5 linked regions of the Mus musculus genome follow. The protein of the gene in region 3 interacts with the protein of the main gene of each other region in a biochemical or structural test. Links are inferred from orthologs where the notes say so. Each region holds a gene or a part of one and is shown on either strand. Other genes may lie near its edges.

Region 1 (6,163 bases), on a different chromosome or scaffold from region 3:
GAGTTGAATATGGTGGTGCACTTCTTTAGTCCTAGCACTTAGAAGGCATAGGAAAATAAATAGGTATGTGTGAACTGAAGGTGAGCATGGTTATCCATACCAAGCTGTAGCAAGCCTACATGGTAAGATACTGTCTCCAAACAAAACAAAACCCTACAAAGAAATAAAATGGCATAATACCTTCCTTTATATTAATAAAATAACTCATTCTGATAGGGTTACTTCAATAATTTGTAAAACATTCCAGTAAGAAAATAAAGAAAACCTATGTAAGTCTAGACAAATATACCTGTTAATACATCATTCAAGGGGTAGAGACAGGAGGATCAAAAAAAGTTACACAGTGAATTAAGGAGGCCAGCCTTAGCTACATGAGACCATCTCAAACAAACAGAGAGAGAGAAAGAGAGAGAGAGAGAGAGAGAGAGAGAGAGAGAGAGAGAGAGAGAACACAAAGAATAGAAATGTGGGCTGGAGAGATGACTCACAGTTATGAGCACTGGCTGCTCTTTCAGAGCAGTTTAATTCCTAGCACCCACATAGCAGCTCACAACTGTCCATAACTCCTATTCCAGGGGATCTGACACCCTCATACAGACATACATGCAGGTAAAAGATTAATGTACATAAAATAACTCAGAGATCGCCTGTCTCTGCTTCCAGGCAATAAATTTTATTTTAATTTTTAAAAAAGGTTTATTTATTTCATGTATGTGAGTACATTGTTGCTGCCTTCAGACACACCAGAAGAGGGCATCAGGTCCCATTACAGATGGTTGTGAGCCACCCACCATCCGGTTGCTGGGAATTGAACTCAGGACCCAGAAGAACACTCAGTGATCGTAACTGCTGAGCCATCTCTCCAGCCCATAAATTTTACTTTTTAATTTTTAAAAATTTTTTTTCAAGACAGGGTTTCACTGTGTAGCTCTGGCTGTCCTGGAACTCTGTAGACCAGGCTGGCCTCAAACTCAGAAATTCACTTGCTTCTGCCTCCCAAGTGCTGGGACTAAAGGTGTGCGCCACCACTGCCAGGTTAAGAAATTTTAAATTCAGCCAGAAACACGTGATTATTAATGGTACTCAGACATAAACAAAACAAAACTAAGAATTAGTGTCCAGTATTCCCTACTGCTGGTGTAGCTTCATTAAACACTAACATTAACAACAAAACCAAAAACATCTATGATTTCTCTGTTGTTTTTGACTTTGGGCCTTTTAAGATAGCTATCATCCTGTTGTTTAAGGTGGCCTCAAATTCATAGTCCTCCTGCCTCAATACTCTGCATATATATATGTGACTTTCTTTTCTTTCTTTTTTTCTTTTCCATGGAGACAGGGTCTCTCTATGTAGCCCTGGCTGTCCTGAAACTCACTATGTAGACCATGCTAGCCTTGACCTCATAGTCATCTGTCTGCCTTCCAAATACTGGAATTAAAAATAAAGACGTGCACCACAACAGCCCAGCTTGTATCTATGACTTTTTAATACAACAGATTCTAATCGTGTGTAACTTTTAATTAATTAACTAATTAATTAATTAGCTAATGAGAGACAGGATCTTAATCTGTCTCCACTTCACAAGAGCTGGAATCAAAGGTGCTGGCTACCACATTCAGCTAGTCTTTTATGTTTTTAACTCAAAATCTAGTTATGTATGGTGGGAAAGGTATAGTGGCATGTGCCCTTTTCCTGGGGTAAGAGGTGTTCAAGACAGGGTTTCTCCACATAGCCTCAGCTGTCTTTGAACTCAAAAGTCTGCCTTCTCCTCCCTCCTAAGTGCTGGGATTAAAGTCCTGTGCCATCACCAGCATGTGCCTTTAATCCCAGCATTGAGAGGCAGAGGCAGAAGGATCTTTCAGTTCCAGGCCAGCCTGAGCTACACAAGAAATGCTGTCTCAAAACAGCAGGGTTAGAGAGATGGCTAAATGGTTAAGAGCTGTGACTGTTCTTCCAGAGGTCCTAAGTTCAAATCCCAGCAACCACATGGTGGCTCACAACCATTTATAATAGGATCCAATGGCCTCTTCTGATGTGAAACAGCTACAGCGTACTCATAAATAAATAAATAAATCTTTAAGGGGGGCAGCCCCCCATATTCTATATAGTCCCGTCTTAATCTCATCAAGTAAGACACAAAAGCAAAAATGACTAGACCTCGAAGTCACTTGATATCATGATCATTCTTGAGTAAGTCATACAGTATACAGTTCTAAATGCCTAATTCTACATCAAAACTTGTTTTTAAAAGATTTGGCACCTTTATGCCAAATGGTAGTAAGGTCAATTATCTTTCTCATTAATTTACCAAACTATATGTAAGATAAATAAATGAGAACCTGATGTACAATAATTCACAAGTCTAAAACCAAACAAGACACAAAGGTATTAATAAGTACTGTAAGGAGAAGCTGGGCGTGGTGGCACATGCCTTTGATTCCAGCACTCGGGAGGCAGAGGCAGGTGGATTTCTGAGTTCGAGGCCAGCCTGGTCTACAAAGTGAGTTCCAGGACAGCCAGGGCTACACAGAGAAACCCTGTCTCGAAAAGTACTGCAAGAAAGGTTTTTAGTAGAAGTTACATTAGACAACTATATATATGAGATTAGTATCATCTGTTTATAATATATGATATAGAAACCTGTTTCATGTACCCCTCAGAGAGTTTATCTTAAACTTTTAGTCTATATTTAACTCTATAAGTAACAAGTTGTAAGGCAGCTCTATCCCATGCCTGAATGTTTTTTTATCTGGAGGTGATACTTACTTTTCTCTATCTGTTTTGTAGATCCGAGCAATCTCAGGCACTAAAGGATCATCTGGATTGGGATCACACAACAGAGAACAGATGGACAAAAGTACTGGGATAGTAAAAAAAAAAAAGAAAAAGAAAAAAGTATAGGTTAGTAGAAGACCACAGCAAAAGGCTTAAACATCAGAAGCTGGGCATGGTCTTTAATGGAAGCACTCAGGAGGCAGAGGCAGGGGAAAAGGTGGATATCTGCGAATTCAAGGCCAGCCACAGTGGTACAGTAAGACCCTGTTTCCAAGAGGAAAACAAACAAATCACCACCAAAAACCCAACCTGATATGCCAACCTGAGATAAGAATATAGAATTATGAATGCAGGTAGCTTAGTGGTGGAAAGCTTGCATAATGTGCATGAGGTTCTGCTCTGAAGAACAAAACAGCTCTTCTAAATCCTAGATTGAGAATACACATCAGCACTAGCGAACCTCAATTTTTAGAGGCTCATATTCAGAGAAAATCAGCTGTCAAATTTCCAACAGACAAGAGTAGTTGTCTGACACAATCAGTCATACAGAAACTTCAAGGATAATCTGGGGCCAGGCGTGGTGGCGCACACCTTTAGTCCCAGCACTCGGGAGGCAGAGGCAGGCGGATTTCTGAGTTCGAGGCCAGCCTGGTCTACAAAGTGAGTTCCAGGACAGCCAGGGCTACACAGAAAAACCCTGTCTTAAAAAAAAAAAGAAAAAAAGAAGATAGTCTGGGATATAGGAGATTGTCTCAAAAATAAAATAAGTTTTAACCAGGTACAGTAGCTCACACTTGTAATCCCAGCACTGTAGATGCTAAGGCCATCCTGAACTACAGAGTAAGACCCTGTCTTAAAACAAACAGATAAAAATCAAACAATCACATCATTCATTTTCTTTTAAACAAAACAAAACAAAAGCAAAAACAAAAAAGCCCCAGATAATCTTAAAAAGTTAAGCCAACAGAGAACAGTAACAAAGAGCAGTTACTTTCCCCTTTGAGACAGGGTCTCACTATACAGTGCTGGCACTCAGAGATCTGCTTGCCTTTGCCTCCACAGTGCTGGTATTAAAGGTGTGCTCCTCCATACCCTGCACAAAATCAGTTATTTCACCTTGTTATCAAACAACCATTCCATTACCTTTTGAAATAGTTAGTGCTGGAGACCACTGTGACCGTAGAATATCAAGACAAATGCTGCCATTACTGTTAATATTTGGGTGATAAATTCTTGTTGTAAATGCAACCTGAAGAAAAAGAAATCTTTGTGATTTGTTTACCAGTACCATACAGAGCATCTTAAGAGCAATGATCATATACCATTTACCTTAGGCGGTTTGAAGGGGTAATCTGTTGGGAAATGAATTGTCAAGAAAAATACTCCACCCTGATAGGGGCTGTCATTCTGTTGATGATAAAAAAGTGATATTAAAAATGGATAAATTACTTGAAACAATTATTAAGGAATTAAAGTGAATACTTACTGGCCCCATTATTGTAGCCTGCCAATGAAACACTGAAAAAGAAGAAAAAAGGGTCACCATGTTAATTAACAATATTCACATTACACCTACGATAGAGAAACCTATCATTTCCTATATCTAATCAAAGTTTATTTATAAATAGCATGATAACGACTAGTTTCAATGGGCAGGATGAAGACTAAACCAATTGAGTCCAAACCATTAAAAGAAAAAGGAAGGAAGGAAGGAAAAAAACCAGATAGACAGAGACAGAGTGAGACAGACAGACAGACAAGTGAGCAGGGTGTGGCAGTGACTGCCTTTAATCCCAGCACTTGGGAGGCAGAGGTAGGTAGATTTCTGAGGCCAGCCTGGTCTACAGAATGAGTTCCAGGACAGCCAGGGCTACACAGAGAAACCCTGTCTCAAAAAAACAAAAAACAAAACAAACAAACAACAACAACAACAACAAAACAAAACCAAAAAACCAACAACAAAATGTAAGCAAGACACCGTGACATTTACATTTAATCTTAGTACTTGGGAGGCAGAGGTAGAAGGATCTCTTTGACTACAGAGTGAGTGAATGCCAGACCAGTCCAAGCTGCCTCCAAATAAGTAATGAAAATAAATTATGATCTCTTGTGGGTTTTTAGAGTTTCCAGTATATCCTTCAATACAGAGCTGGGGGGACATGAAGCATTTGCCTGGCATATGTTACTCTGGGCTGGATCCTCAACCTTACTTTAAAATACAAACACACAAAACACAAATTTGTTCATAAGCTATAGCGATAATTTCAAAGTACTCAATAAAGTAACTACCTATAAAAGCAGTAAATATTTGTCTCATTTCTAAAGTGGGCTTACTCAATACAGAGACAGAGAACAAAAGAGTTTGTAAGGAAAATCCAGTCAATATCTACACCAGAGAGAGACACTGCCAGTATGAGTTTATCTACATCACCCAACCAAGCTAACTCTTGTCACACGGGATTAAACTGTTAAGAGTACAGCTACACAAAAATTTATTGGGATGTATAAAAACTAAAGGTCCTTCAAACTTCTTCAATACGTAATTGTTTATGGTTTCTTTTACTAGGCCCCAAACTCACCATTAGCAGCTCATTTATCAGAAAAACATATCTAGAGTCACCATACACATTTTAGAAGGCATCAAACGAAAACAGTGGTTAGATGCCATAAAGTAAGTAAGTAGAAATGCCTCTATGCAGGCAGATTTCTGAGTTCAAGGCCAGTCTGGTCTACAGAGTGAGTTCCAGGTCAGCCAGGGCTATACAAAGAAACCCTGTCTCGAAAAACAAAACAAAACAAACAAACAAACAAACAAACAAACCCAGGAGAGTCAGATGGGCATTGTTCTCAGCACTAAAGAGGAAGAGATACAGAGGTCCAACCTCATCTGCACACACAGTTGAGACCCTGCCTCAAACCAAACACCTAAAACATACATACATACATACATACATACATACATACATACATACATACATACATTTGAACAAACAAAACTCCAAAACCAATTAACTCTAGAGCCTCTACTAGGTAGTAATGATCAAATGGGCAACTAGATCTCTTTTAAGTCTTGTCCTTCAACCTAATCCTTTCATATTCAATTTAAATCTATTGTACTGTCAGTTTCTAAAAATCAGATTAAAATAATAATAATTAAATAATAATTTCAAAATATTGAGGTTTCAAGTATAAAATTTTCTAGTAGCTAAGTACTAATTCTTTGTTTCTAGTCTTCTGACAGCAATCATTTATTCTTGCTAAAAAAAAACTTACTAAACTTAAGAAGAACTTAAGCCGATGTTGTGGCTAAATGGTAGAAGGTTTGGCAGGTGTGAGGCTATAGATTCAACCTCTACTATTGCACACACAGAAAGAAGGGAGAAAAGG
Region 2 (6,851 bases), on a different chromosome or scaffold from region 3:
ACTCCAAATCTTCTAATATTATCATAAATTAACTTTCAAACATGTGGATCTGTTGAGTCTTCCAGATTTGTTCCATTCATCAGCTTGGATATTCTGAATCAAACCCTAATGTTCCAGTTACCTTAGCTTATTTCATTTTTAATGTAAATTGTCTTCAGTTCAGGGGCTGGGGATATAACTTAGCGGAAGAACATTTGCCTAGTATGAGCAAGACCCTGCACTACTAGATGTATGTGAGGGGTAGGAGAGGGCTGCAGAGCAAACCAGTCACTAGGTGATATTGCACATATTATGCTGGGCATGGGCAGGACACAACAATAATCTCATCAATTGGAAGGCTGAGGCAGGAAGATCAGCAACACACTGCCATCCATGACTATATAGTTTGAGGCCAGTAGTGTATGAGAACTTGTGTACTTAAAGCAAACTGAAGGAGGAGGATTACTCTAAGTCTGAGGTCAGCCTGGGCCACAGGGTGGTGTTCCTCTGTATTAGTCAGTTTTCTCCTTGCTATAACAAAATCCATGACACAGGAGACTCAAGAAAAGGTAGTGTCTATTTTGGCTCATAGTCCGGGGATACAGTCCAGGGTAGTGGAGCTGGCAAGACTGCAGGACTAGGAGGCAGCTGGTCACCCTGCACCTGCTTCAGTCAGGCAGCCACGTTTTTCTTTTTACTCAGTCTGGGACCACTGTCTGTTTGATCCCACCTATATTTATGGTTACTCTTCCCACCTTAACTAAGTCAATCTAGGTATGTCCTTTACAGACAGGCCCAGAAGTCTGTCTCCTAGATGATTCTATAGCCTATACTTCAGTTGACAATATTAACCATCTCACCCTGTAGTGGTATGAATAGCTTTGGCCTCCACAGGCTCTTGTGTTTGAATGCTTGGCTCTCAGGAAATGGCACTATTAGGTGGTGTGGCTTTGTTGAAGGAAGTGTGTCACTGTGGGAGTGGGTTTTGAGGTCTCCAATGCTTAAGCTCCACCTAGTGTGGAATTCCAGTCTCCTCTTGGCTACCTGCAGAAGACTCTCCCACTGCTGCCTTCGGATCAAGATGTAGAATTCTCGGCTCTTCCAGCACTAAGTCTGCCTGCATGATGATGCCATCAGGATAATGGACTGAACCTCTGAAACTGTAAACCAGCCCCAATGAAATGTTTTCCTTTTATAAGAGTTGGGCTTGGCCAGGCATGGTGGTGCACACCTTTAATCCCAGCACTTGGGAGGCAGAGCCAGGCGAATTTCTGAGTTTGAGGTCAGCCTGGTCTACAGAGTGAATTCCAGGGCAGCCAGGGATACACTGAGGAAACCCTGTCAAAAAAAAAAAAACCCAAAAAACAAAAAAAAAAAAACCCAAATCCGGTCCCATATTCTTCTGCCTCAGCGACAACAACCCCCCAACCCTGTATACTAAAAGTCCATCACGCCCAGTCCTGTTTATTGGTTTCTGACTGTGTTATTGGTTTCTGACATATTATTTATATCCTTTAAAACTGTTGAGTCTTGCTCAGAATGTCCTATGTGTGCTTAAAAAGGGAGACAATCCAGTTGTTAAAATGCTTGATATATATTTTGCAGACCTGAGTTTAATTCAGAAACCACATAAAAAGTGGTGTGAGGGGGGCTGAGAGATGGCTCAGAAGTTAAGAGCACTGACTGCTCTTCTGAAGGTCCTGAGTTCAAATCCCAGCAACCACATGGTGGCTCACAACCATCCATAATGAGATCTGATGCTCTCTTGTGGTGCCTCTGAAGACAGCTACAGTGTACTTACATATAATCAATATAATCAATCAATCTTTGGAGAGAGTGAGGCCAGAGAGAGCTATAATAAATAAATAAATTAAAATAAAAAAGTGGTGTGAGAAGGTGCATGAGTATAATCCCAGCACTTGGTTAGGGGAGAGAGAAGACAAATAACTCTTGTTAACTTGTCCTTTGACCTTCCCACATTTGCTGTACTGTGACACATACACATAATAATAATGAAATAAAAAAATGTATTGATTATATATACAAAAATCTAATTATTAAATGCAAAACAAAATATCTCCTCAGCTACACCCCATTACCCCCCCCCCAAATAAAGGGGAGGACTACTGAAAATTCTATACCAGCCTGGTCTACAAGGCAAATTCTAGACCAGCCAGGGGTACATATAAGATCCTGTCAGAAAAATAAAAATAAAATAAAAATAAGAGGGTGCTGGAGCAGGGCCACTGATTAAGAGCATTTGCTGTTTTTGCAGAGGACCTGGGTTTGATCCCCAACACTCATATGGTGTCTCATAACCATGTATGTGGTGCACATACATGCATGTATGCAAAACATTCATAATACAACATAAAAATAAAATTAACGGGTCCTTTGACTCCCCTTCCATACCAGAGAAAAATCTCAAAATAACTTAATAACTTAATTTACAGTGTTTTGATTCTTAACTCTCTCTGTCTCTCTAAGATAGGGTTTCTTTTTGTAGCCCTAGTTGTCCTGGAACTCAATTTGTAGACCAGGCTGACCTCAAACTTAAAGATTTGCTCGCCTCTGCTGGGATTTAAGCCATGTGCTCAGCCTCTATCGTTTTAAGCCTAATGAAGCCTTGTTATTGGGGGTGGGGTGAGGGAAGCATTGTGTGTGTTGGGTGGGGGGGCAGTATTTGGCTTACACTTCTACATCACAGTATACTGCTGAAGGAAGAAGGCAGGCCAGGAACTTAAACAGGACAGGAACCTGGAGGCAGGAGCTGATGCAGAGGCCACAGAGGGCTGCTGCTTACTGACTTTCTCCCCATGACTTGTTCAGCCAAAGCATTGCTATTTTATACAGAAATCTGAAGGACTATTTTCAGTAAAACGAAACAAAACTCTTGTAAATACAGGGGACTAGAAAAACAGTTCAGCGGGTTAAAGCCCTTGCTGCACAGGCCTGACAACTTGATTCAATCCCAGCAATCCACAGTAGGAGAGAACGCTCTCCTCAAAGTTGTCTTTGGGCAATCAATTACAATAAAACTACCTACAACTGTAAACTGTATCTTTATATAAAATAAGAACATAGTGGAAAGGCATGCTAATCAAATTAGAACGAGGGGGAAAAAGGCAGTTTCTCTCAAAGAAGCCATGAGACTATGATAACAATTGGTATATACAAAGTCTTCTCGGGTGAGAGATGGCTTAGCTGTTAAGAGCACTGGCAGCTCTTCCAGAGGACCCAGATTCAATTCCCAACATCCATCTGACATCTCATAACTAACACCGTCCTGTGCCTCCGAGGGCACCAGGCATACCCGTGGTGTGTATACATACATGCAGACAAACACTCATATACAAGAAAAGTAAATAAAAAATTAAAAAGTCCTTTGGTATAAAAGCCATGTGTTATCATGTATTTTATGAATATAAAGGGTTTTCACAGAGCCGGGGCTTGGGGGCATAGACACTGGAGGCGCCTAGGTAGAAGTCAGTTCCAGGTCAGCCTGGGCTACAGCGACACCTGTCTCACAAACAAAACGAAACCCTCAACCAAACAACCATAACAGAGTTCCTTACACTACGGCTTCAAAAGATATTTTCCTTTTAATTTTTTTTAAACCGGCGTTGTTAGCCTCTTTTCCAGTAACCACTCCCCGCAAACGTAAGCTTTTTACAACTGCACTGACTCTTCGTAAAATTCTTTGTGTCCCAGGCCTGAGGTAAATAAATAATCAATGCACAGAACCTGGGTAGGTGGCAGATGCTGGAGGTAGCCTTGGCGCGCCCAGGGCGGTTCGCTCTCCCCGCCGTGTTCCTCCCAGGGCCGCTCGGGTAGAAACGGGACTCCTTCCCCAGACTCTCCGTGACCTCGGGCTCGTTCCCTCAGGTGGCACTCGCAGCACCCGTCAGCAGCCCCACTTACCGCGGCGCGCCTCTGCTGTGCTCACGCGGAACCGCGGAGACCGTTGGAATGACTCCACCCCCTTCCAGGAGAGGACTGTGATTGGTCCGCAGCAAACCTGGGGGAGGCGCGCGCCCGCCTATTGGCCACCGCTCAGAGCTTGCGTCCGCTCACGCACCGCTCAAATTGGCGCGCGCACGCGTATCCGGAATTCTCAGTTCCCGCTGTGGTCTTGTTTGTAAATCGACTGTGAGCTGGGAAGGCTGGGAAGTCATCTACAGGAGAGGAAAAAAAAAAGGCAACTGGACACGCTTAATCTGGAGAAGTGACTGCTGAGTAGCTGCCTTTATATCTTTGTTGTGGTTCTGTGGAACGGGGTCTCGCGATGCAACCCTTGCTTAGCTTGGAATTTGCTATGTAGCTCAGGCTAGCCTGAGACTCCTGGCACTCCTACGCAGCTTCCCAATGGCTACCAGGTCACCCAGGCTTTAAGCAATGACAGGGGAAACTTTACAACTTCATTTAAGATCAGTAGTCTAAAGATACAAGTTAGCCGAGCACGGTCGCGCAGGCATGTTGAAATAAAAAGGTGAGAATTTGAGACCAGCCTTGGGTACATAGATTTCCTCCAGATGAAAAAAGATTTTTTTTTTTAATTTATAATTCTGGTGAACAAAGCATTCCATCAGGACTCTGAAGAGTAAAGTGGATGGAGTAAATTTCTCCACCACTGGAAATGTTCATATGGAAGCTTCAACCTGTTAGGGGTTAACGCAAGAGATCCTCTGCACTGTGAGGAAGTTAAGGATTTCCCCCTCCCTCTCCCTGAAAACAAGCCCGCTCTTCCTACATACTGTGCCAGCCTTTGATCCCTTTGAGTCACACACCAACCACGGAATAAATGACTTTCAAGCGCTCTTCCACCTCTAGAAAGGTATTTTCTAAGCAACCAAGTGCATGATTATAGCCAAGTCAGCTTTGAGGGCACAGCTGCGAGTGCCAAAAGTGGGTAGTCCTTGGGAGAGAAAGGAAAGCTTAAGACCTGAGACTCAGCAGAACTGGAATTGGTTTCAACTCTGGGAACCCTGGGGGTGGGACCAGAAATCAATCAAGGAATCACCTTTCTCTTTCACTGCTCCTAGCTTTTTGTACAGCTCCATAGCATAGACCTAGCAGTCGGTCTTTCTGAACTTCGAAGCTAATATAATTTTGGCTACCGCGGTGATGTCTGCATTTAGTCCAAACTGATGTTAAGCTACAGCTGGTTCCTCATGGAGGTTTTTATGGTGTGTTTTGTCTTCTGGAGACCCTCAGACTCATTAGGACTCTGACTGACTCTGCTCTGGGCTTCCCCAATTTAGTTGTAGGACTGAGCCAGAGGGTAGATAGTGAATTCTGCAAACTTACAGACTTCTGAACGATAGTCATGCAACAGTCTGACGTGCTTTTCAGTCTGCTGTTGCGGTTCTGTATTCATGGTTAGGATTTCTTTGTTGCAGTGAAGTGTTTTCGCTTACCATTTGGGATTACTGCTTATTTTACTACTGCCATTCATACTATCTAATGATATCTAATCTCCTCAGCATCTTTTCTTGTCCCTACTCCGACAGTGACCGTATTAGTCCTGTCTTGAAATAGAAACTTCCTTGGATGGTTCTTTGAAAAACACAGAGTTAAAAATGTCTCTTAGAAATAGCACAGACCGTAATGAGTTGGATCAAAGGAAAGGAGGGAAAAGACAGAGAGAGAAAGGGTCCCATTCTATCGACACAGTTTCCATTTGTCCACCAGAGGGAGGTATGTTAACTGGTGGGAATAGAGGCCAACAAGAGTGCTCTAAATGTTATTTTTAAACTTTTAATTAATTAATTTAGGGTTTCTTTTTGAGACAGGGTCTCGCGATGCAGCCCTAGTTGGCCAGGAGCTATTTAGACCAGGCCGGCCTCATAGAGATCTGTCTGCCTTTGCCTACCAAGTTCTTGGCTCAAATGTGTGTACCCTAATTTAGGATTTTTTTTTCTTTTTGGCAAAGGCCTCATTCTAAACCCCAGGCTGTCCTCAAACTCACAACAATCCTCCTGCCTAGGTATCATCACTATTTATTTTATTTTGTTCATTTGAGGCAAGGTCCCATATAGCTCAAGCTGACCTCAAGGCCAGACTTGAACTCCCAATCCTCTTGCCTCTGTCTTCTAAGTGTTAGGATTATAAACATGTGCCACCATGGCAAGCTTGTCATTATCTTTAAAAGTAGAGTGTTCTAATGTTGCAATTAAAGTATGAATATGGAAAATTATTACTTGATAAAAATCTGGATTGGCCCAGTTATTTATTCAGTGGATGAGTGTAGTGTGTGGTATGTGTGGGTTGTGTCTACCTGAGTGTGTAGGTAAGCAGATGCACCTTGGTAGCTCTTCTGAGTCCGTCATGGTGGGGATCTTCCTCTATTTCTCTATAACCTATTCCCTGAGGAGAGGGTCTCTCACAGATCCAGAAGCACATTGAAGCCAGCAACTAGGCTGGCTGGCCTGCCAGCTCTCGTGAGTCACCATGTATTTCCTAGTGCAGGAGCTATCAGCTGTAGGTACAATCAGCTGTGCTTGGCTTTTTATGTTGGTGCTGGGGACTCAAACCCAGGTACTCATGCTTGCACAGCAAATACTCTTACCTGTTGAACCATCTCCCTAGACCAGATATTTTTGAAAATATTTTCTAAAATGTATTTTATTTGTACACAGGATTGTTTGTTTGGACTTAACTGGTAGTTACACATGTTTTATTAGCAGGCTGCTGAGTTTGTCTTAGTAGGGAGAATATTTGCTATTCAATCTCGAGGACCTACGTTCAGATCCCAGCGCCTATTTATCGAGTTGGGGTCCAACAAATACCTGTACCTTCAGAACCCAGGGATTGATGCCCTCTTCTGGCATTGGTGTGTACTCACACCTACCTGTGAGCAGATACTCGTGCAG
Region 3 (6,163 bases):
ATCTCTGGGCTGGTAGTCTTGGGTTCTATAAGAGAGCAGGCTGAGCAAGCCAGGGGAGGCAAGCCAGTAAAGAACATCCCTCCATGGCCTCTGCATCAGCTCCTGCTTCCTGACCCATTTGAGTTCCAGTCCTGACTTTCTTTGGTGATGAACAGTAATGTGGGAAGTGTAAGCTGAATAAACCCTTTCCTCCCCAATTTGCTTCTTGGTCATGATGTTTTGTGCAGGAATAGAAACCCTGACTAAAACAATGCATAAGACTTCTTTAATTATTACCGAGTTAAAGAAATTCTTTTCAGAACTAAAAATGTTGAAGCTGTCTTCCTGGATCTTGTCTTTTATAATTATATATGAGGTAAAAGATGACATAAAATATCTCCAGTAGGAAATACACTCTACATACTTTTTTTCAAGCTAATCATACTGTTTATTCAAATGTAACTAAAATTGAATGGGAACTCCAAAGTTTTTTTGTAGTTATGAACAGATTTTGAGGTAAAATTTCCTCTAAATATTAAAAAAAAATAATAAAATTATCCTTAGGATTGATAAGTGATATGAATTAAATTACATACCTTTAACAGTCCTTTTAGGTTTCTCAGTTTTAAGAATATATGTTATAACCATGATTTTTCTAATACTTTACATTGAATTGCCATTTTTATTATCTTCCACGATTATTAAATAACTATAAGAGAAAAGCTGCAGGGTTTTTTTAGTGACTTAAGTCTTAATCGTTATGTTTTTAATCTTGTCTTCAGTTGTACCTTGAAGCAGCAGATACTGTGGAATCCCTAGGCAATCCTGGGCATGAAGAGTTTCTCCCACGGTAAAGCTGAAACTTGGATTATTTTTTTCTTAGTATCTCTTTAAGAAGCAGAGATAGAACAATTTTGTGTAAGCATTCCTCTCTTAGGTGTCTTTCCTCCTGACATTTTACTTCTTGGTTTGTTACTTCTTTGCCTAGTGATTAAATATTGCAGTAGTACTATGTCTTTTTACCACTTTATATGTAGTGATACAGATTTTCGGCTTATATACATGAGAGTGGTTAGCATTCAAAAGCCATAATATTAATGAATAAGATTGCTATACATGATTTTTTTAAAAATAAGTCTCTTTCCATTTGAGGCCATAAATTCAAAATCAGTTAAAACTTTAGAGATTTCATTATCTCAGAAAACCACAGAACCCAGAGTTCTGCCTTCAGTGTAAATGAATTAATAACTCCAAATCCCTTCTGTAGATTCCTCTAAAAACTTTTTTTAAATATTATGATCTTTATAATTTTTTTCTTAAATACAATAGTCCCTCTTTATCTGCAGTTTAACTTTCTCAGATTTTAGTTGCATGTAAATTATCGAAAAGTACAAAAATGGAAAAGTACAGAAATAAACTATTGATAAATTTAAATTACATATACTTGGGTACAAAGTGATAACATCACACGCTGTCCTTCCTGGGATGGGAATCATCCTTCTGTCTGTCCATTAATCCTTTAGAAGCTCAGAAGTATATTCTGTTTTAAAGTACAATATTAAATTGTTACTAACAATAATCAATAGTATTTTTATATCTTTCTGTTTTCTTGGTAAATGTTTTTTCAGAGGAGATAGATATGATGCCATACGTGCCTGCATTGGAAATACATTGTGTCAGAAGCTACAAAATTTGAATATCTTCTTAGTAAGTGTGAATGAAGATGGGAATAAGTAACATGTTCAAAATGTTGTTGAATGTCAAGTTAATTTTTAAAGTCAACTTGATGTAAATGAGTAACTGATAAATCATACAATCTCCAGAGCTTAATATGTTTACTTCCTGGTCCTCCTACGTAAAACTTAGTCAATTTAGGATCTGAAGAGTATTCATTTCAAAATAAAGCATGAATGTAACAGCTTTCAACATTAAATGGTTTTCTAGAAGTACTTTAAAAACACATTTTTTGAAACTACATTTAAAAATGAGTAAATGTATTCTCTTTTTTTAAATATCTTAGTTTATTTTGAGAGAAAATTTTCACAAGAGCATAAATGTTGTTGGCTAGTCTTAAAAATACTACTTTTAGTAATCATAATTTTGTTTATTTGTTTTTGTTTTTCGAGACAGGGTTTCTCTGTAGCCCTGGCTGTCCTGAAACTTACTCTGTAGACCAGGCTGGCCTCAAACTCAGAAATCTGCCTGCCTCTGCCTCCCAAGTGCTGGGATTAAAGGAGTGCGCCACCACTGCCCGGCAGTAATCATTTTTGTAAAGTAATATCTTAAAGATTAGCAATTACTGCTGAGATTTTTTTTTTCATATAGATAGAATATAATCAGGTTTCAAATATCTGTTTTACTTAAAATTCTTTGTAGACTTGTCTTAAACATATCTCTGTCTTTCAGATAGACTGACAAGTGTCTAAAAGTAAAGACTTTTTCATGTTACCTAGTTCCAGGCTCGGGTTGTTCTTATGTTTTTTTTTTTTTTTTTTGCTTTTTCTTCTGTTACTGTTTTCTTTTCTCTATAAGAAATAAGTTCAGCATTTAGCTTTTGTTAGGAATCTTCAATTATTTTTGTTTGAAGAAGTTATAAATACCATAGTTTTCTTATTTGTTTTATACTTTTTTTCTTTAATTGAGACACTTAAAAGGCATTATGAAACTTGTAAAAAGTAAAGTCCACCACAAGTCAGTCACAAATCATTTTTTAAAATTGTATTTAGTGTTATAGCATTTGATGAAAATTAGAATGAAATTCTTTATTCATTAAAAATTATAGTATTGTTGTCTGACATTTGTACTCTTTCTTCAATAGGTAGGATGTGGTGCCATAGGCTGTGAAATGTTAAAAAATTTTGCATTACTGGGTGTTGGTACAGGCAGAGAGAAAGGAATGGTAAGATACAAGTCACTTGAGACTTAAACATTTATATTTCTCCTGTTGCCCATTTTTGAACTGTGTTTAACTATACTAGCCTGTTTTACTTGGTGTAGACCATTAAACTGAGAATTAGAAGATTTTAATTGTCTCTGGTCAGTTTTTAGTCCCAGATTCTCTGCTTCTTGGTTCTTTTTTTGGTTCCTTTTTTTTTTTTTTTTGGATTTTCAAGACAGGGTTTCTCTGTATAGCCCTGGCTGTCCTGGAACTCACTTTGTAGACCAGGCTGGCCTCGAATTCAGAAATCCGCCTGCCTCTGCCTCCTGAGTGCTGGGATCAAAGGTGTGCGCCACCATGCCCGGCCGCTTCTTGGTTCTTAACTGTAATTTCCTGAAATAAGTCCTGTCTCTCTTTTTGTAGTTACCATCAATTATTAAATTTGAAAGGAACTTTTATTATCATAGCTTACAAACTGAAAACCATGTTATTCTTTTGTTACATTATTCATTCTTAAATATTAACATGAGAAATGACATTAACAAGCTGCAGAGTGCTCAGATAATTTAAATGGTGAGTTTCAAATAGTGAGAATAACACATACTTTGGTATGCAGTTAAAATTCTTCACCCTGAGTTATTACAAAACCGTGTCATATTTAAAATAACTTTTATTAGTGGTATTTTACCTTTAAGATTAAAAACTTTCATTAATGACTTCATATATTTATCTTGGTAACTAACAGTGACACTGCATAAATAACTAAAGTGAATATGGTAATCCACATTGTAGCCTTGATATAGTTTTAAAAGGGATTTATTATTATAGCTGTAGGTAGGTACACATAGCCATGCTTGGCATTTCTAAACTGTGCTCCACAAACTATGAGTCTAGTAGCTTAAAAGTTACTTGGATTTTTCTTGTGTAAAATCGCTTCTTTACTGTAAGCTTGGGATTACCTGAATGTTTTAACTGTATAGAAGAACAGTGCTTTTAGTAGGTAAAGGTCAGGATGAGCTGAAGTAAAGACTGTAATGTGGGCAGGCTTCTGTCATTCTGAACACAGAGACTTGTAACAAAACTTTAAGTGTTCATAGATACACCCAAGATGTAAAGAGAAATCCCCAGGTACCTAGAATCAAGGGGGAAAAAATGAAACCTTGAATTAAACACTAGATACAATTTTTTTCTCTATTTTTAATGTCTAAAGCTTTTAAGTAGAAAAGAAAGACACTCACTAGAAAGTAAGACTGTTAACCAGCACCCCGCAAGAGAGAGGGGGAGGGAGGGAGAGAGAGGGAGAGAGAATGAGAGAGAGAGAGAGAGAGAGAGAGAGAGAGAGAGAGAGAGAAACATAAAATTCCACAAAAATGTAGACACATACACAAGGAAAATTGCTAAAAGAAAATGAATGTGAACACCAGTCAACACCTCAAACTGGAACCTGCACTGAGCAGTACTATGCCATTTTTTTTAATTCTAGCTTAATAGCACAGGGGTTTTCAATTCTGCAGATTATGTTACCTGTTTGCTTTCTTCTTTCACTTTCCAGAAATAGGATCTATACATTCTTTTTTTTTTTTTTTTTTTTTTTTTTTTTTTTTTTAAAGATTTATTTATTTATTATATGTAAGTACACTGTAGCTGTCTTCAGACACTCCAGAAGAGGGCGTCAGATCTTGTTACAGATGGTTATGAGCCACCATGTGGTTGCTGGGATTTGAACTCCTGACCTTCGGGAGAGCAGTCGGGTGCTCTTACCCACTGAGCCATCTCACCAGCCCAATCTATACATTCTTAAAGGGCAAGTGTTTTAGGCCTCTAAATCAACTATCTATGATAGCTAGTTGGCTATACAAAAACTACTGGAACTGCCTAGTAGTTTATAAATTCAGCCTTAGTTGGACTCCTGTCAAGTTGAAACATGACAACATTCTTCTCAAATTATTTCAGATTAAGAATATATATTGGGCTAGCAAGGTGGCTTATCAGGTAAAGGCACTTGCCATTAAACCTGATTTAGTTTGATCCCCAGAACCCACCCATGGAAGGAGACAAAGGACTTTTACAAAGTTGTTGTTTGAGTTCCACATTTATGCTATGGGCACATATTCCTCCACACACATACACAATAGTTAGGAAATAATAAATAATTTTTAAAAGAATGAATGTCATAAATTTAGAAGAGATAGTTCCTCTGTAATTCATTTTTTAGGTATAAAAGATGATAGGGATAGTTTTAGTCTCCAAATAAAGAATTTTTAAAGGGAGTTTCTAATAAGCTTAAATCATTTGTGTTATTTGCTATGATCATGCACTAAATATTAGTTGAAATTAATAAATTTAACAATGATACCATATTACTGGTAACATTGGGAATTTTTTAAAATGACTATTACTAGCAAAAATGCTTTGAGAGTGCTGTTTCTGTCATAGTGAGAAATGCAAAATAGATTCATTTGTTTTATTCTCCTGTTATAAGGTAACAGTTACAGATCCTGACTTGATAGAAAAATCCAATTTAAACAGACAGTTCCTGTTTCGTCCTCATCACATACAGGTTTGTCACTGTTTTTTTATCATAAACAGATATTGGTTGCGGGGTAATCCTGTTCTTTGTTAGATCCTTAAGAGAAAGAATAAAGATTCTTTGGAAAGAACAAAATGAAGAAAATAATGATCTTTCATGTACACTAAAATTGGTTTTTGGATGTTACTATTTGAATCATGACATGAGTAGTACTTTTCATTTTGTAATCACAGAAATTTGTTTCCATAAACAAATTCTCTAATTCGAGGTTTTAACAAAGCACAAATTTTAACACTACTTTTTTGGGTTTTTTTGTTTCTTTGTTTGTTTGTTGTTTGTTTTGCTATAAAACAGGTAAGGTTTAGTATTTAAAAATTGCTGTACACTATTTAGTCGTCTCAAACCAAAATATTTAAATCCGGAAAAGAAACAGACAGTACACTCAAAGGCAGAGGCAGGTGGATCTCTTAAGTTCCAGGCCAGCTTGTTCTACACAGTGAGTATTATTAGTCATAGTTACATGGTAAAACTGCAGTGAAAAACAAGCCGGGCAGTGGTGGTACAAGCCTTTAATCCCAGCTCTTGGGAGGCAGAGGCAGGCGGATTTCTGAGTTCATGGCCAGCCTGGTCTACAGAGTGAGTTCCAGGACAGCCAGGGCCACACAGAGAAACCCTGTCTCGAAAAACCAAAAAAGAAAGACAGAAAAGAAGAATATGTTCATCAAAACCACGTGCTTTTAGTTTAAATTTTTCCCTTGTATTGTCAACTCATTGTC
Region 4 (4,186 bases), on a different chromosome or scaffold from region 3:
TAAGGCTCTACCCAATCCGATCACAATAAAGCTGTATTGTTAAGGCTATGCAAACGCAGAACCCTGCAGGCCGCTGCTCTCAGATTGGCCCCTCGGGGTTAACAACGCGCATGTGTCCGCACTTGGCGGTGCGATCAGCACTCAGCCTGGATCTTTTAATTTGCTGTTCCTAATTTGAGGGGAGCTTCTTCGCGCTGCTCAGCCCTCTCTGAGGAGCACGGGAAGAAATCTCCATCACCTGGGCCGGCAGAAGCCGTGAACCGGCTCCACCTTGACTAAGGCATCTAGTCACCCCGCGGCCCCGCCCACAGCACCTCCCCGATTGGACGCCCGGGGGAGGGCCGTGTCGGCGCGCGACGGCCGGCCGGTCGGGGGAATTCCATTTCCTCCCCCGCCCACTAGCATAAGCACTCAGGGGCGGTGCTTCCCTCGCAAGACCCGCCCAGTAAGAGCCCAGGGGGGGGGTTGCCGGCGCATCTCGCGATAACTTGCGGATTTGGGGGCGGGTCCCGAGCCAGGAAGAGAGCACAAAACTGCCCTTAAGTCATTGCAGACCCGGAGCTGCTGCGAGCCTGCCACGAGGTTCTCGCGAGATCCGCCACCTCCATCCCAAGTGAGGAAACGGGGGGCCACTCAGGGAGGGGCGTGGGGCCTCGACCGCGCAGCTGCCGCTTCCATTACCTTCCTCCTAAGGTCTCCTTCCGGTTCTCGATGCTTCTCTGAATTTAAGGGTTTCCGCCACTCGCCTACCCTCCCCCTCAGCCCATGACCCGCCTCCGTCCCCCGCCCTCCCGGCCCGACCTCCGATCGCTTTAGCGAGAAGGTGCTGTTCCGACAGGGAGACGGCAAGCGGGCGGCACGTCCACTCGGCCCGAGCGAGGGAAGCAAACCGCTCCCCCCTGAACCCCTCGGCTCGCCCCGCGCTCGCGACGGCGGCGTTGGCGGACGGATACGCGGCGGTGAATAGGCGGGGGGAGGGGCGGAGCGTGGCAGCTGGCAGTAGTTCCGTCAGAGCGGACATCTTGTGGCTGTGCCGTGCGCGTGAGCCCCGTAGGGCCGGGGAGGCACCAGCTGCCGCGCGGGGAGGAGGCCGAGGCCGCAGCTCGAGGGAGGCCCCGGCCCTCTGTACGCGTGGGTGTGGACAGCTCGGGAAAGGGGAGGGAGACGGGCCGGGGCCGGCGCGGTGCCCGGGGGGCTGTGGGCGGCCCGAGCGGGCAGCCCTCGCGGCTGGGTGGGGTAGGGTGGGGAGAGGCCGGCGGCGGAGCCGGGGCCCGGCCGCAGGGGGAGGGGGCATGGGCGCGTCCTCGCGCCGGAGCTCCGCGGCCGCCGGGCGCGTGGTGGCGAGGTGGCGGGCGAGCGAGCGGGCGGGCGCGCGCACGCAGGAGCGCGCTGCGAGGCGGAGAGTACGGTGGTGTCAGGGGCGACCCAGAACAGCCCTCGCCGTGGGGACGGGAGCGCACCCGGGGCCCATTGCCTTGTGCTGGCTCGCTGTCCCTTGGAGCCGAAACCGAAAGGAGCCCGGCGTCGGTCCGGAGCCGCCCGCTCCCCTCCCCCTTGCCTTTCTCTGCCCGAGTGACGCCGGCCTAGCGCCGACTAGGCCCCGGCTCCTCCTCTGCCCGGCTCTGGACCCTGCCCCGCACCCACCCCTTTCTCCTCCGCCTCTTCCTCTCCCACCCGGGGCTCGTCTTCCTTTCAAGAGGCCGGGAAGTTAAACTTGTAACCACCTCTCGGCGCTTCCCGTCACCCTCTCGCCCTCTCTGGGGCGAAGCGCGGATCTCGGTAGCTGGTGGCTCCGCCACCCCGCCCCGCCCTGCCGGGATCGCGGCGGTTTTCAGGGTTCTGGAGTCAGCAGGGTTTCTCCGAGGCCCTGGCGAGTCGCTGACCTGCTCCGTTTTTGCAAAAAGGCGCCTGTGTCTGGCAGAGCCGGTGTGAGAAGAAGAGACAACCCTTCCCCGCCGCCGGGATAATCAAGAATTTTGGCCGGACCTTTGAGTACACCTCGGGATAGTGAGGAGCCCGGCGAAAAGCACAGACTATGGCGCTGAAACGGATTAATAAGGTGAGCAGTTTGGACTAAATGGTGCGGACAGGGTTGTGGGAAGAAAGGAGGCTTGGGGCCCAGAGGAAAAAAAGCGTGGGTCTGGTGGTGGATACAATTCTGAAAATACCTTTTCTTGGGTTAAGGAAAGGCAGGTGCACTTTGAAATGAGCTGTAAGATAGGGAACTGAATGGTTTGGGTAAGCGAAATGTTAGCTTTTTTCACTAGAATCTGTAAGTATGGGTGAGGGAGCGTGGCTATTAGGCTCCTCGGTTTTTTGCCTAAGAGTCAGGTTTGGGAAGTAGAATTGTGTACAGGCCCTCGGCTAATGTCATGGTGCTGCTTCCTAGTCTTGGTTCTTCAAAACTTATTACAGCTGCTAAGGCTTATTGGCATTCAAAAGAAAGGAATGTAACAGATGAAAAACGTTTTGTTCCAAACTTGACTGAGAGTCTGGGTATGACAAACATACCTCAGTTCGCTAAAATGTGGTGACGAAGTCTGTTCAGAAGCTTAACCAAATCTGGGCAGTTACACAAGAGTAAGTAGGGTTGGGAGGAGGTGGACCGACACTGTTGCCACTTCCTGTGTTGTGTGGTCGCTGCTCTCACCCGAAGCTATTTATCTGAGGCACTGGGAACCCTGTAAAAGCCTTCTGAAAGATCCTGGGGGGAGTGGGGGTTGACAGTGCAGGGAAACTGGATGGGGAGACTGTTTTTGCTTAAAACCCATCTTTAAGGAGGCTTGTTTGAGCAAATCGATATAGTTTGATAAGTTGTCAATTTAAGTTGGCAAGAACTAGAATTTTTTTCAGAAATATTTTGCGAGTGGATCCACCTCTCCGGTGGTTTAGTCTCATTTTCTTGCTCTAACTTCTATCCCGCATTTTAAGATGGCGGCTGCTTTAACTGGCTCGGGTTCTTTCCGGCATCTCCTTTTCTAACTATTTAAGATAATGTTCTCTGTTAGCGTTAAACGTTTTTTTATTCTGTTGTAGGGAGCTCTCACAGCCTCTGCCCCCAAGACTTAACCTAAATTCAAACTCTCAGACTAAGTTTCTGTGCGTGTGTGTGTGTGTGTGTGTGTGTGTGTGTGTGTGTGTTTTGTATTTGGTTCTTTCACAATCGAGAGGGTGGAGTATTTACAGCTAACTTGAAAAAAATGTTGTGCAGAATAAACTCAGTCTTAATAGAAAAGACAAAATGGGAAGGTTCGGTATTAGAAACTTTGGCTTAGTAACACAGTTTTTAAAGAGTTCTGTGGAAAGGAAGGCAAGGACTTAAAATGACTGGTAGGATCTAATACTACTTTATTTGTAGTTATTTAGTATGTATAACTTGATCAGTTTGATTGGAAAAGCTGTTCATGAAGTTAAGTCTAACCTGTATATATTGATGTTGAAATCTTAAATTCTGTCTCTGGGTAATCTTTGTAGTTTTATGCAAAACACTTAACTGTTTGTATTCTTGATGATAATGCAAAGAGAAAGAAAACCTTAGTATTCAAGACTTCAAATAGATAATAGAAGTTAACATTAAAATTATCACTTAGTGTGACAGTTTTGAGGGTCAACCTCACTTTTTAGAGATGCATTGTTGTGCTTTGCAGCATAACTAATATGGAGACTATAACATTCAGTGCTAATCAAAATTCAGATCTATAGCTTCTTATAAGTGTAAAACAGAACATTTTAAAGGGAGGTCTTACTGATTTTTTTCTTTTACAGGTGATACCCAGCTGCTCTGGCACCATTTTAATGACTTAAAAGCTCTAGCAAGGCAGTAATGGTTAAGTGTAAACATTTGTAGTAAAATAACATGAGATAGAATCAGGCTCTAAGCAAGTTTATCCATTTGCCTAATCTATACCAGGAATTTTTCTATATACTGGGATGGCAAGGGAAAACAGATTTTACAAGTTTAAAGAATTATGTATTGATACTTCACAGGTAAATTTTCTTATATTCGAAAACTTGATGTACCAAATGGCTGATTCAACCTGATTTCAAGCATATCGGGTTTTTTTCCTTCAGATATTGTCAGAATCATGAGGCTGCTTAAAAAACAAAAAAAAGCACCCAAATGCTGGCATAATTTTTGAAAGGCTACTTCTCTAAAAATAAGGGGCCAGTTAGACACTGTCATGAG
Region 5 (6,818 bases), on a different chromosome or scaffold from region 3:
GCGCCTGGTACACAGACATATGCACAGGAAAAAGACCAAATGCACAGAATAAAATTAAAACCTTTAAAAAGAAAAGAAACAAGCCAGTGCTCCCTTGTCTGTGAATATTTACGTCAACAGAGGTCTGAAAATATCAAAATATCAGTGGAAATTCCCAGAAGTAAACAACCAATATATTTTCAATGGCGACTCAGAGAACTATAGTGGAATCTCACTCCACCCTGCTGAGCCCTGCCAGGACTTTTACACAACAGCTGTAACTGCCCGTTCTATTTCATCACTTGCTGCTGGAAGGGTAAGGGTACACTGCAGCACAGACAAGCTCAGCACAACTGTGCTGAGTGCAGAGGCCCGAAGAAGGGCGCACCAAGACTCCAGTGAGTGAAAGCAAATCGGTGCTACCTAGGAGGGGCAGGGGGGAGAAGGGACAGAGCAGTCCCAGGGCAGGGCGGGGCACTCCAAGGATGCTATTATTCACAGCATGGATGTGACACACTCAAACATACAGGATCCTACAGTCCAGCGAGAAAAAGTCAGCGCTGTGTAAAGCCTGCCAGAGGCAGACGTTTGGCAGAAAAGGCAGAGATGGCCTTTTGTGTATGTGAAAGGATCCCGCTGCCTCACTTGCAATCACTAACATACAGTTCAAGCCACCAGGATGCCATCTAACACCTACCAGACAAGGTGAAGACCCCAAGGATAACGTATGAGTGAAAAGCCTGAGCAGTAGCACACACTTAACTCAGCTGTGGTGGCCATGACACACACACCAGAAGAGCCACAGTGACCAACAGGTCAGCATATCTTGTAACGCCGGCTGCTCACACAGATGCGGCACGGCTCTAAATTATGCTTCCAATGCAAACCTGCACATGTCCACCAGGAGATTTTCAAATCTGCTCACAGTACTTCTAAGAGTCAAACTGCAAGTAACTTCAGTGTCTGCCAGGAGCAGAACAGAGGGATGCTGGCTTGTTCATAAAGAGAAATCCACTGAGCAAGGAGAGGAGGCTGCCGTCACAAGCTTCAAGAGAAAGGAAACTGACACAAGGCTGGTAAGAGCTCCCAGGGCAAAGCAAAGAACACACACACACACACACACACACACACACACACACACACACATATATATATATATATATATATATACACTGTACAACTTCTATTAAGACAGACAAACGAAAACCACACAGTGTCCAGAGACAGAACGGCAATAGAAAGAGAAAGAATGACAACTCGGTATGTCGCTAACTCTTGGTGGTGCTGGGAAGATGAAGACTCTAGGTCACTGTCCTGCTCTGCTCTGCAAGCAGGGTATCATGGACACCGAGTTATTCAGCTGGCCATCACTGTAACAAAGTGCCTGAGGAAAGTCACCTGAGATGAGAGAATGCCTGCTTATGAAAAGGCAGTGCATCATAGCAGGGAGCAGCAGCATGGCCAGGCAACAAGCAGGGGAGGCACTGAGAGCAGATCCTTAAGGGGAATGCAGGGACCCAGCCTTTCTACTTCTCCCGTGTCTGGCCTTAGGTGAACAGCTCTGCTCTGGTTCACGCCCCTACTCTGACGTGCTGCCTTGGTGGGCAGAGACACCTCCTGCCTCGTCTGACAGGCCAAGCTCGAAATTCCCAGGCTCCACACAGAAGGGAGATGTGACCCTTGTCAGTTGTCCTAACTTCTGCACATGCACAGTGGCACTCGCCTGCCCACCCACAAATACACAAAAACAGCTGTCATTGTAAAACAATCTCAAGTCTACCCCAATGTGGGAACTGTGACACTGTCTGGAAACAGTCTCAGCAGATGTACCAGAATTAAATACAGAACATTCTGACTAGGCTGGGCCCTAAGCCAGTGACTGTTGACATTTCAAGTGGAAAAATCTGAATACCGACACACCCAGGCTCAGATGGCCACAGGAAGGTACAGGAGAGGAAGGACTTACACTAGCACAGCTAAGTAACCCGCAGTAGCCAGCACTCTAGAGCTGAGAGGGAGGAAGGACCTTCCCCAAAAGCCCACCCTGCCTAGGGTGACAGCCCAGGCCACAAGTGGGCTTCTAATTCTATCTCCAAACCATGAGATGCTGTCTGTTATGGTATCTGAGTGGTGACAATGTTACAACAGCCCTGGACCACTGTTCCCTTGTCTGTCACAGTAAGAAGAAAAGCTGTGGAAACATATGACAAGGACACAAGAACACACACTGTTCTTACAGAGGAACCAGGTTCGAGTATTGGCACCCGTATGAAAAAGAGGCAGGCTTTATTTACCATGGGTGCCTGTAGCCCCAGAGTTGGAGGCAAGGGAGGAAACAGGAAGATGTCTGGGGCTAACTGGCTGGCCATTCTAGCTGAATTGATGAGCTCCAGGTTCAATGACAGGCCTGGTCTCAAGAGAAGAGGGTGGAGAGTGAGCGACAGAGTGGGACATTCAATATCCGCCTCTGCGTGCACAGGACACTGCACTTGGGAGCAGTCTAAGGTCTTCGCTTGGCTCTTTTTGTGATATGACCACAGTCTAATCGTTTTATATCTGTTATTCAACTGCTATAAAAGAAAAACAAGGAGCCTGAAAAACAATAGGGATGAAGAGATGACTCATAGATTTTGTTGCTCTTGCAGAAGATCCAGGTTCTAGTTCAGCACCCACACAAAGACTCACAACCAGCTGTAACTCCAGTCCCTGGGGATCTGATGTCATCTTCTGACATCCACTGGCACAGGCACACATATGACACACTTACCTATGTGTAATCAAAATACTCATAAAAATACACATAAAAAACACATTAAAAAAAAGTTAGACAATGAACCACACTCAAGGTCATATCGCCTCTAAATCTACAGTACAATCAGGTATGCAAGAACACCTTCGCTCTAGCCCAACCTCGGATGTTCTAATTCAACCTGGATGTTCCTGTTGAATCTACCTAATACTAGAGTACATGGTCTTAAACAGAGGACAAACCTTTTATACCATAAAGGAAGAAAAACACTCAGTGGGACTTTTATTGAATTCACAAGGACACGGAAAAAACCTCCCTCCCTCCCTCGCTCCTCGTGCTTTGTACTGCTGGATGCATTTCCATCACTGCTGCCACAGGCTTAAACAATATCCATTGATGACCTCATGGTTTCCATGTGGGCTTGGGCCCAGCCGAGACAGCTGGTTGTTTCAGGGCTGCAACCCAAGTCCATTCAAGTCGCTGGCACAACTCAGTTCCGTATGGCTGTAACACTGGTCCCAGACTAGCTGTCAGCCTGGGGCCACCCTTAGCTCCCTGCCCTTTTTTTTCCTCTTCCAAGAAGCCACAGCAGGTGGAGTCCTTCTCCTCTGTGAACCCCCTGAGCCCCTCGCCAGCCTTCCTATTTTAGAGTTCCCTCTTTAACCAAATTCCTTCTCTCTCTCACACGGAGATGATTCACAACCTTAACTTCAAATTAAGTGACAATACGTTTTGTCTGACGTACGAGTAGAGGCTTTTTGTGGCGGATAAGTTTTTCTCTAATGTGAATACCCTTGGGTAGAAGTGGTCAAAACTTAAACCCCTGTCCCGGAGCTTAAATGCTGTTCCCTCTTTTTTAGATAAAGGGGATGTGTCTCAATCTAGACACAGAGCTGAAAAAGTAAAACAGAGAGAAAAACAGATCCGGATCCAAGGAAACTGTCCGGAGCCCGTGTCCGAGAAACTTTGGTTTTCCCCAGCAACTCGCACCTGCGGCGTGGCCGGGGGTTTGAGGCGTTATCTTGTTTATTTTTAACTTTCTCCCCCAACTCCCCTCGACGGCTCGACCACCTTACGGGGATTACCCGGTACTCGCCCCGCAGCATCAACTGTCGGGAGGGCAGATGCGCAGCACACAGGGGCTTAGGGACCAGACCCGGGTGGCAGGGCCACGGCGGCGCTGCCCCGGCCGGCTTCTGAGCCCAGGGCCAGCCCCGCTGCCGCTGGCTGGGGTGCGCAGGTGACGGCGACAGCCTGGCCTTTTATCCGCACGCGGAATCTCGCAGCCCGGCCCAGTACCCCCGCACCGCACCGCACCGAGCCGAGCCATGCCGGGCCACGCCGCGGGCGACTATGGGGAAGAGGACAGGAAGGCGGCGCCGCCTGACTCACGCTTATACTCGGCCATCAGCCTCTTCAACGCCGTCCCCGCCATACCGCGGAACCTGCGTTCAGCAGCCTCGCCACATCCGCGCCGGTCCCGCCCGCCCGCTCCGACGCCCACGACTGCTTCCGGGTCGCGGGCTCCGGGCGCAAATGCATCCGGGGCGCGCGCGGGTGACGTGGCGCACCCGGGTGCTTCAGACAGGCTCGCTGGGGTTCGCCTCGCGCTCCCCGGGTAATGGCCCGGGTCGACGGAGCTCGGCTTCCAGAATCTTCTCGGCCGGCCACACCCTCAGCATTGAAGGTTTCCTACGCCGCCGTGAGGCTTTGCGCAGCTCGCCCTGCGGCCCTTTAGTCTTGAAAAATAGTGCGAGAGCTAATGGCTCATCATGGATTGTTCCTGAATGAGACTCATGTCCTTGCGCTTGGGCTCGCCCCTCAGAAGTGGCTGTCCAGATCGTGAAACTTTCCCCTTGTAGGCATGAATGTCCTAGAACTCATTATTTAGCCCAGGCCGGCCTCGAATTCACAGAGATGCCACCTGCCTACCTCTGTCTCCCAAGTGCCACTACACCTGGTTTTTGAGGCCCAGGTGATTTGAGATGACACTTCTAGCAAGAGAAAGAGTACCTTGGTTTCACAAAGGAAGGATAAAGTTCCCGGGCCATATCCCATCCTCTCTGGCCAAAAAAACTCAGACTCTGCCAAGTAAGCTGTACTTCCTCATCATACGGAACTGCCAGATAGATGCTTGGTATTTTCTTAGGTGCACCACTGCCTTCGCTAAGTGGACATGAGGGATACAGCTCGGGACGTGGCTCTCCGAAAAAAGGGGCTTTCAGGACTAGGTGTAGGGACAAAGAGAAAGTTCCTGCTGGGACCCTGAGTATAAGAAGCTGAACTCAAAAGATTTGAGGCATTAGATTCATCACATTTGTCGTTTTAAAAAAGAATATTAAGGGGGCTGAAGAGATGGCTCAGCGGTTAAGAGCACTGACTGCTCTTCTGGAGGTCCTGAGTTCAAATCCCAACAACCACATGGTGGCTCACAACCATTTGTCACGAGATCTAATTCCCTCTTCTGGTGTCTGAAGACAGCTACAGTGTACTTACATACAATAAATAAATCTTTTAAAAAAATATATTAGAGCCAGGCAGTGGTGGTGCACACCTTTAATCCCAGCACTTGGGAGGCAGAGGCAGGCCGATTTCTGAGTTCGAGACCAGCCTGGTCAACTGAGTGAGTTCCAGGACAGCCAGGGCTACACAGAGAAACCCTATCTTGAGAAAGAAAAAAAATATTAGGATGCTACTCCAATTACATGTAAGGTTAAAAAAAAAAAAAATCCCACACGCATAACCCTCCCAAGCATGCCCCACCCACAAGTCAAAAGGAGGCCTCGAGGACACACTGCTCCTCCTGCTGTTGCCTGTAGAAGCATAAGTTAGTCTAACACATCCAAATGATGTGGCAGCCCCGATTCCCTGCGACAGTTTGAATGTGAGTCGTGCCCACATGTTTGCTGGTCAGGGTGGAACCTCCACTAGCTGGATAGGGGTGAATTTTGAGATTAGGATTAGCTTAGTTTCTAGTTCTCTCTGCTTCCCAGTCAGCTACCCGGTGAGTAAGCAGCTGTCACACACTGCTGCCGCCTTGGAGCCACCTGCCGCCATGATAGACGGTATCCCCTCCAACCCCAAGGCAAAATTAACTTCTGTGTGTCGGGTATTGATCCCATCAGCAAGAAAACAAACTTGTAAAGTAGTACCATGAACTGAGGCCATCCCTGGGATGAGCCTGACCATGAGCTTCAGAGCTAGTTTGGTTTTGTTTTAAAGATTTTTATGAGTACACTATGGCCGAAAAAAAAAAAAAAGATCTATTTATTTATTTAATGTGAGTACATTGTAGCTGTACAGAAGGTTGTGAGCCTTCACGTGGTTGTTGGGAATTGAATTTTTAGGACCTCTGCTTGCTCCAGTCAACCCCACTGGTCAACTCTGCACTGCTGGCCAAAAGACTTATTATAAGTACACTGTAGCTGTTTTCTGACACACCAGGAGAGGGTGTCAGATCCCATTACAGATGGTTGTGTGCCACCCTGTGGTTGCTGGGATTTGAACTCAGGACCTCTGGAAGAGCAGTCAGTGCTCTTAACCGCTGAGCCATCTCTCCAGTCCCAGCCCCAGAGCTAGTTTTAAGGAGAAAAGTGGAAAACAGGTTCAGAGCTGGGAGCTAGAGAACTCTCAGATTGCTGTGAGCAGGGCTAAGAGGACGACTCTGGGGGGAATTTGGAAGACCAGAACACCAAGAAATGCAGGTAGCCTAGACTGCTCAGGGTGCTTTATCCCAGAGGTGAACATCGAACATATCAGAAACTTGGTGGTAACCATTTCACGTCACATCCTGTGGCAGGGCAACGCAGTGCAGTTTCCTCCATCTTGGATCCTTGCTGAGGCCATGTTCGGCTTAACTAGAATCTGATCTCTCTGATTGGGAAGCCCCATAAACAGTTATTCAACTCTATTCTAGGAACTTGAGGTCAAGATGCCCCAGCTTAGCTTCTATTAAAGCTTGTGCAGAACTCCCTCCAGCTAACTGCCTTTAAACTGCTCACTTGCACAGAACTTCTCCTTGCAAACTGCTGAGTTATCAGAATGTGGGGTTTTTTGTTTTGTTTTTTGTTTTTTTGTTTTGTCTTTAAAA

Evidence for each region.
Region 1: of the proteins of Uba6 (region 3) and Ube2d2a, one has a biochemical effect on the other in vitro, tested with the Homo sapiens proteins (7 studies listed by BioGRID, with this or other methods). The link is inferred for Mus musculus from reciprocal best matches to the Homo sapiens genes UBA6 and UBE2D2.
Region 2: the proteins of Uba6 (region 3) and Ube2t form a complex in vitro, tested with the Homo sapiens proteins (2 studies listed by BioGRID, with this or other methods). The link is inferred for Mus musculus from reciprocal best matches to the Homo sapiens genes UBA6 and UBE2T.
Region 4: the proteins of Uba6 (region 3) and Ube2d3 form a complex in vitro, tested with the Homo sapiens proteins (2 studies listed by BioGRID, with this or other methods). The link is inferred for Mus musculus from reciprocal best matches to the Homo sapiens genes UBA6 and UBE2D3.
Region 5: the proteins of Uba6 (region 3) and Ube2g2 form a complex in vitro, tested with the Homo sapiens proteins (2 studies listed by BioGRID, with this or other methods). The link is inferred for Mus musculus from reciprocal best matches to the Homo sapiens genes UBA6 and UBE2G2.

What each region holds. Positions count from the first base shown.
Region 1 is NC_000084.6:35,797,972-35,804,134, reverse strand, and holds part of Ube2d2a (ubiquitin-conjugating enzyme E2 D2), read right to left. Parts: intron 4,295-6,163; coding exon 4,263-4,294; intron 4,184-4,262; coding exon 4,106-4,183; intron 4,026-4,105; coding exon 3,920-4,025; intron 2,862-3,919; coding exon 2,768-2,861; intron 1-2,767.
Region 2 is NC_000067.6:134,959,659-134,966,509, reverse strand, and holds the start of Ube2t (ubiquitin-conjugating enzyme E2 T), read right to left. Parts: upstream 3,946-6,851; 5' UTR 3,724-3,945; intron 1-3,723. UniProt on the Homo sapiens protein: Accepts ubiquitin from the E1 complex and catalyzes its covalent attachment to other proteins. Catalyzes monoubiquitination. Involved in mitomycin-C (MMC)-induced DNA repair.
Region 3 is NC_000071.6:86,137,071-86,143,233, reverse strand, and holds part of Uba6 (ubiquitin-like modifier-activating enzyme 6), read left to right. Parts: intron 1-761; coding exon 762-829; intron 830-1,607; coding exon 1,608-1,686; intron 1,687-2,797; coding exon 2,798-2,878; intron 2,879-5,339; coding exon 5,340-5,417; intron 5,418-6,163. UniProt on the Homo sapiens protein: Activates ubiquitin by first adenylating its C-terminal glycine residue with ATP, and thereafter linking this residue to the side chain of a cysteine residue in E1, yielding a ubiquitin-E1 thioester and free AMP.
Region 4 is NC_000069.6:135,437,740-135,441,925, forward strand, and holds the start of Ube2d3 (ubiquitin-conjugating enzyme E2 D3), read left to right. Parts: upstream 1-1,386; 5' UTR 1,387-2,035; coding exon 2,036-2,059; intron 2,060-4,186. UniProt on the Homo sapiens protein: Accepts ubiquitin from the E1 complex and catalyzes its covalent attachment to other proteins. In vitro catalyzes 'Lys-11'-, as well as 'Lys-48'-linked polyubiquitination.
Region 5 is NC_000076.6:77,619,719-77,626,536, reverse strand, and holds the start of Ube2g2 (ubiquitin-conjugating enzyme E2 G2), read right to left. Parts: upstream 4,217-6,818; 5' UTR 4,164-4,216; coding exon 4,121-4,163; intron 1-4,120. UniProt on the Homo sapiens protein: Accepts ubiquitin from the E1 complex and catalyzes its covalent attachment to other proteins. In vitro catalyzes 'Lys-48'-linked polyubiquitination. Involved in endoplasmic reticulum-associated degradation (ERAD).